2 linked regions of the Notamacropus eugenii genome follow. The protein of the gene in region 1 purifies or fractionates together with the protein of each later gene. This does not show direct contact. Links are inferred from orthologs where the notes say so. Each region holds a gene or a part of one and is shown on either strand. Other genes may lie near its edges.

Evidence for each region. The genes of interacting proteins can lie anywhere in the genome.
Region 2: the proteins of ANKRD28 (region 1) and PPP6R3 purify together in Homo sapiens (co-immunoprecipitation; 3 studies listed by BioGRID and IntAct, with this or other methods). This does not show direct contact. The link is inferred for Notamacropus eugenii from reciprocal best matches to the Homo sapiens genes ANKRD28 and PPP6R3.

The regions. Positions count from the first base shown.
Region 1 is NC_092874.1:38,160,730-38,164,481, reverse strand, and holds the start of ANKRD28 (serine/threonine-protein phosphatase 6 regulatory ankyrin repeat subunit A), read right to left. Parts: upstream 2,514-3,752; 5' UTR 189-2,513; coding exon 72-188; intron 1-71. UniProt on the Homo sapiens protein: Regulatory subunit of protein phosphatase 6 (PP6) that may be involved in the recognition of phosphoprotein substrates. Involved in the PP6-mediated dephosphorylation of NFKBIE opposing its degradation in response to TNF-alpha.
Region 2 is NC_092873.1:20,819,426-20,823,177, reverse strand, and holds the start of PPP6R3 (serine/threonine-protein phosphatase 6 regulatory subunit 3), read right to left. Parts: upstream 2,978-3,752; 5' UTR 2,971-2,977; coding exon 2,959-2,970; intron 1-2,958.

The DNA.
Region 1 (3,752 bases):
AGCAAAAAAAAAAAAAAATCACTCATATTACACCAGAATACAAAAATACTTAAGAAACTATCACATCTTACCAATGCATTTCCAGAAGCTGGAGATGGAAGGAATTTATTTTCCTGAGGCAATTTGGAAACAAATGTTGGAGATTCATCTTCTATCTCCTCCAAAACAACAATACACACCCGACTCATTCGTTTAAAACACTAAATTTCAAACTATATAGCAAAAGTTACAGTTGATATAGCACAGGGAGTATGTCTTTCTCTTCTGTACACACTTGCGAACATTCTGTGTACTACAGCTGGCATTTAAAAGTTAATTTTAAACTTCAGTTTTTCCAGTGGTGACTGACCCCCTACAGTTTTGAAACATCTCTAAAATTGCCAAGTCCTATTATTCTGTTCAAAGTCACTAGTTCTTTACTACATAAATTATTAGTAAAACCCAAAACAAAACCTTTGTAAATTAATCTCAGGTATAATCTAAATTCATTTGAAAAATTATCCTTTAAAAAAATTATGCCTTTTTAGTATCCCTTGTCTTCACAGCAGAATTTTGTTAGCACAGAGAGGTCATTGTTTGGGGTGACATGACACCACTTTGTATTGACTGAAAGGAGAAGCAACTGCAGTGACAGAGTCTATCCCAGTTATCCTCAATTCGGGCAAGGTCAATTTGGTCACGTATAGCTGGCTTTCTTTGATCAAAACAAATTTTAAAATTTCACTATTCTATCTCCATCTCAGAGTCAAACCTTCATTTCTTCAGTTTCACTAGTCTTAATGCTGATATACTCCAGAAAAAATTCATCTGTGCTCAGCACAAATTCAGAACATGGAGCTCAGAGGTTGACAATTCTTTCTACGTTTAAAAAATAAACCCACTCTTCTGCATCAACAGCAAAGCTGCAATACATTTACAGGCAATGAGTCAGGTCACGAGGGACAATAAGAAAATTCTTGGTGTTAGAATATGGCCTGTTCAATCGAGATTTCCCAAACGGCAAGCATGCAGAGAGCTGTATTTTCATCAATAGCACAGGCAATGCAGAGCCCTCATTCCTCCTCCATCAAGCAGCAGTTGGCTGTGGCTGTTCTAGCAAATAACCCACAACAAGAAGGGTATTAGCAAAATAAAATCTTAACGGTTTAAAGAAGCTACGAAGCTCAAATAACTGTTCAAATCACTGCTTCGACCTTTTCCTCTACAAAGTAGTTTATCACTTGAGTGTTTTCCTTTGATCTCTGCATGAATCCAGCTTCCATTATACAGTCCTCCTTCAAGGGAAAAAAAATCCTCCGTGCATCTTCTTTCCGACTACTCTTTTATTCAAACATCTGGGTCGGTGCCAATCCAGCTTCCTTCCACTGCTAGCCTTTTTAGTAGATTTCAGATGTTTCTGTGTTCAGTAGATGATTTTGAAAAAGCCACAAACCCCTTGAATGAACTGATCATTAAAAAGAAAGACGAAAAATCAACCACAGGACCTGAAAAATCAGCCCCACAGCAGCATTCCGACTGAGCCTAGTCTGAAGAGCAGACTGCAGACCCGCAGGATAAAATGCCTAGTAATGCTCACATGTTACACTTACCACAGAACTGAGCCACTGCTCAGGATGTAACTTCCTCTAGCCACCCCCCAAAAAGGGCCACATTTGTAAAGTCTTCACAATTAGAATGCCCATGCCAGTTCTGTGACTAATTCAGATCAAACTAAAAAATTCTTTAGCTGAAAAATGAGCGTGCTTTTAACATTTTCCACTAAAAGCCACAAAGAAATCTGGTATCCTGGTATACTGCCTCTGCTGACTAACATCCATTTATGCAAGTAAACAGTTCCAAACAGCTTAACTGTTTTCATATGTTACTGTATAGAAGCCACTTTAACCCTTTCATGCTAACCAGAATTGTTAAAATAGACGTCCTGGCAAAACTGGTATCAGTGTACTGGGATGGGATTTAGAGATAAGAGAAAATCTGCAACCAAATACAGACATTTGCCTAGACAGACACATCCTTAGGCTAAACTTTTGTTATTTAGAAAGACAATTTTGATAATTACAAGGCAACAAATATTCTTCAGGAAATTTCAAACCAAAACTATCATTTTTTCCTACAAGCTAGATAGTACTAGTAAGTGTATAACCTCCTTACATCTCAGTATCTTCATTAAAAAAAATAGGGATAATACACTTCAGCTAACCACATTCATCAGTACCTTAAATGAATGAGTTTTCTGTGATTCTTGTAAATTTATCATTTTGACTCACATCTATCTAAAAGTAGCTGTACTTCCCCTAGCATTTATTAAATACCTACTATGTGCCAAGCACTATGCAAAGCGCTGGGGGTAGATAAAAAAAGGGCAAAAAAAAAATAGACCCCGTTCTCAAGAAGCTCACAGTCTAATGGGGGAGACAATATGCAAACAACTATGTACAAAACAAGATATGACAAAAAAATTTCTGGAAATTCTTCTATTCACTGACATACATATGTATATATGTATATATATTATATATATACACATATGAGACAAGTTTCTTACTGATATTAATCCATGATTCCTGCATATTAGCAAACAGGCACTATCCCTCTACCAGTGTCGGTCAGATACTTCTATATAGCAGCTTAGGAAGCAGGACTTACACCATGCTGCCTCTCCGCTTATTACAGAAATGAAAGACAGAAATTAGGTTATCTATTTAAGATATCTTCCAATTCAAAGTATCACATAAAATTTCAATATGAAGACATTCACATAATGTGGGCAAAGTCTTAAGAATCTGTACTACCTTACTTTCAAGTGATGAAATATGGGAATAAGGAAGAGTTAGGTAAGCATTTATACAGTACCATCTATGTCCCAGGCACTGTGCCAAACATTTTTATTAATATCATCTCGTTTGATCCTCAAAACAACCCTGAGAGATAGTATTATCACCACTCTACACTTGGGGAAATTGAGACAAACAGGTTAAGTAACTTGCCCACGGTCACATAAGTAAAGTTATCTGAGGCCAGGTTTTAAACTCAGGTCTTCCTGAGTCCAGGTCCAGGCTCTATTTACTACCCCTCCAAATGTGTACCTCAATCAAGAGTGTTATTTAATTTGCTCCCAGGATATGCTCCCTCCTTCCTCAGTGAGTCTTTCTCCACCACCCCTTCTACTCTCTTACTAGGCGACTGGAACACACATGCTCCCACCTGGTTGTACCCCAAGGTACGACAATTCATACCTCAAAACCTGCTCTGAGAGGGAACTGGAAGACTTCTGGCTTTTCATTGCCACTTTCAGACTCTCCCTCTACTATCATCATTCAGCAACCTCTTCTTGAAGGTACAAGCTTTCCAAATTTATCCCCCAATCTGGATCCTTCCAAACCCTACCCCTCACAATCTCCCTTCTTCCCTAATGAGTTGCCTGACTAAATAATCTTTCATAATCTTACATAATCTTTCTCTCCACAACTCCAGCCCTCAAACTGAAGACTTCAATACATATTGGTTAATGCTTCCTCAAGCACCTTAAAATCATGTGCTCAATTCCCAAGACCAACTTACTCCTTCATGTCAACTGTGACCTTGATAAGGCTATCACAAAATAAGTGGTTCATGTCCATATTAACTCAGAAATGTCTTCATCTCATCATACCCATCTTTCCCCATCCCATGCCTTACAACCCCAACATTCTTCTTCAGCCTCCCCATGACTACCATTTTCTTTATCCCTCAGTTCTTTCCTAGGCTCTAAT
Region 2 (3,752 bases), on another chromosome or scaffold:
GTAAGATGGTATGTGTATTAGTCCTTCATTACCGAAGAAGACCATGCCATCAGAGAAATGATGACATGACTCGCACTTGACTTTGTTTTGAGTGAGGGAGGGCTGTGCAGCTCACCAGCCTCACTTCTCCTCCAGAGCCATCTGAATCCAGTGACCGGATATTCATCAGGATGATTGGAGATGACCCAGGATGAGGCAATTGGGGTTAAGTGACTTGCCCAAGGTCACACAAGTAGTGAGTGTCAAGTGTCTGAGGTGAGATTTGAACTCAGGTCCCCCTGACTCCTGCACTGGTGCTCTATCCACTGCACCACCTAGCTGCCTTTGTAAGATGGTAACTATTTCCTAGAATGTGGCTTTGGTAGATAGCACAATCACTCCCAGCTGAAAACATTCTCTCAGAGGTGATGGGACTACAAACCGGGCCCACCTGATACCCATTGCCTTCTCAGCCTTATCTGGTGCTGTCAAAGACAGTTGACCCACAAGGAAGTGTAAGAGAACAAGCCAAAGCCCAAACTTCCAATCCCTGAGATAAAAGGGCCTGCAGAAGTCCCCATCTGGCTACAAGGATGCTTCTTGGGACACTCAGCTGCCACAAGTCCTGCTTGAGCTCACAAAGAACTAAGGCTCTCTGCTTGGAGAAGGAACAGGATGAAGAAAGAAAAGTGGACAGAGAGACAGGTTAAAGAAATGATTGTTTGAAACAGACAAAAAAAAGTAACAGCAACCAGTCTCTAGCTGACAATATAATTCATGTAAAACAAAGGCAGCCATGACATCCTCACTCTCTTTCAAGAGCACCCCCCCCACACACACACACACACACAATAAATTCTTTCCCAAGTTCCTTTATATCAGTAACACACTAATTACTGTTTTGTTCAGGATTATTTTCTAATACCTCTAAATTTGTGAAAGGTTAAAAATCTGAAGAAACCAAGCATTGTCTTTACTATTTTATTTTGGCCTAAAAGACTTAAAAAGAAGGGAGACAGGCAAAGGATGTCAAGGAGGAATCTTAGAGACCAGCAGCTGGTTGCCATGCCCATCCCCCCCAAGGGAGGTGAAAGAAATGATCAAATGTTTCAGCCACCAAGAAATTAGAAGTCTGAAGGGCTCAGGATGTCATTGAGATATCTGTGGCTGAAACAAAGAGGACACACTGGAACAAACTTCTCATTTCTCCCCAGGCAGCTCACCAGGGAAATAACATCTCCATCCCAGAAGGTCTTGGTCCTGGGGCTTGGAGAGTGGGACCCACAAACTCAGCCTCCATTTAAGGGAGGGGTTCAGCGTGCTAACCCTAAATGTGCTGTTCCACTAGCCTTCCCCCAGGTCTTATTGCACCGCTCCCCTAGAGTGTAAACTCCTTAAGGGGAGGAATTTTTTTTTTTTACTTCAATCTGCACTCCCAGCACTGAGCAAAGTGCCTGGAATACAGGAGGCATTTAATAAACATTTATTGACAAGTCCCACAGGAACTCTAGACCTCTAAGACAGTAACAGAAATTTCTTCTAAATTAAAAATATTTTCCTCAACGCTTAGACCACCAGTTCTCCCCAAACTGTTCATCACAAACATCAAACCATGATTTCTCGTGGCTGAGTGCACTAGAAGCAACTGCTACTGAGTCTTCAGTTTTCAGTGATTTTTGTGCCCCACTCAAAGCATTAAACACAAAAGCCAACTGCTGAACTAGGCTAAAAGATCCAATCTGTGGGGCCCACTTATTCAGAATTTTGGCCCCCAACTTAGACCAGTCTCGCAAGTCCTCTGAAGTCTCACTGTGGTGTGGAAATGACTGGGCCTGGAGTCATGAAGACTTGAGGTTCAAATCCAGCCTCAGTTACTTCCTCAACGTGTGAACCTGGACAAGTTTGTTCTGACTCCGGGAGTCTGAATCAGACAACTGCAAAGTGCTTAGCACGGTGCCTGGCTACAGTGACTGCTACAGAAATGTTAGCTCTTCTTTGGTAGGCACAGAGGGCAGGCCCAATGCCAGGATTGAGGGTCTTTCACAGGAGAAGCTAGATGCCAATTCAGGGGCAGGAGAGTGTGGGATTTGGCCACAGCAACCACCATAGAAAGGTCTTAGTAATGCCTTGGTTTTTTTTAATAACTTCATAAAAATATCCATTCTTGATGTCAAGTTACTGACAAACTAGATTTTTAAATCTGACTCTGATGCCTATAGATTAAAATGACACATTCAGGCCACTTTCAATCTTGGAAGGAGTTGCTAAAAAGCTTCGGCTTGAGTTTTCAAATGAACTTTTTCTTTTTACCTAGTAATACTGATCTGTTCCAGAAAAGTTGGCTACAAACCACAATTTGTGATAAAGGAATCACTTTCTCAAAGGGAAATGAATTCTGTAAGGCAGTCTTTAAATGGTCCAAGAATTCTTAATTTTTCACATCAAGATACCAATAATCATTGGTGCTACTTAGAAAGACAGAAGCTATCATCAATGAGTTCCCAGTCCTCAGTTTTAATTTTTACTTCTAAAAATCTGGAGCACAATTAGGAAGGACTCCTCCTAGAAGCAGAAGTTAGAGCAGAAGCTCCTGCCTCTGAGAGCAGAATGCATGCACAGACACACACATGGACGCACAAGCGGACCCACACATGCACGGGCAGACAACACGCCCACAGGAATGCATACAGGCACGCACAGGCACGCATAGGCACATACAACACTGGTATAATCTGAAATGTTAACAATTCTCTAACAACTTGTTTTCATCAAATCAGCCTTTTTACCATCAAATAATAAAGCTGTTAGGGGACTCAATTCCCTGCTGTGAAGGTATTTGTGACAGAAACTCGGCCACCATTAAAACACCTGAAAACGACCAAATTTTCTATTTGTGCACTAAGTGAACAAAGACACATTTCTAAGGCTACTAGCTGATCACTCAATTTAAAAAAAAGATGAAATAATGAAGAAGCATACTACTGCAAACATGTCCCTGAGTTCTTTGAGAAACTCCCTCCTGGGCGAGCTGACATTAGGGTGCCTGTCTCTCGCTCTGTCTCTCTTGGGCTGGGGCCAGGTGCAGAGTTCAGTTTATTCCGGCACTTTTCAACAGGAGCCCAGGTCCCTTCGAATAAGGAAAAATAATGCCATCAAATGTGCTAGAGGAAGCTGTCAGAGTACCGGTGAGCACAATTACTACATTCTACCCAAACACGCAGCAATGGGGAGGGGAAAACCTCTGAAAAGCAGAATCAAAAAACTGAATCTCCCGCCTACTCTAAACACAATCTGTACTTCCTACAACAGAGGAGACGACAATATCCTTTCAAGCATTTGTGTGATATTTGAATAATTTCATAAATGGCTCGATGGAATTCTTCAAATTCCAAATCTTGACATAGTGGGTTTGACAATGAGAATTCCCCTCCAGTGCTCCCAGCTCACATCAGGCCCTGGTGGAAAGGGGACAGTGAATGAGTGCAGTCACGACGCTGGTGATGCTGACAGCTGACGTTTACCTAGGCCCCAGTTTACTCAGTGCCATGCACTAGGCTAAGCACTTTACAATACCTCACTGGATTCTCACAACAGCCCTGGGAGGTAGGTACCAGTGTGAGCCCCATTTTACAGATAAACAAACAAGCAAACAGGGTGAAGTGACTTGCCCAAAGCCATACAGCTAGGGAGTGTCTGAGGCCACATGGGCCTCCTAGCCCAGTGCTCTATGCACTCTGGCACCCCCTAGTGCCTGTACAGGACACAAGCACAGG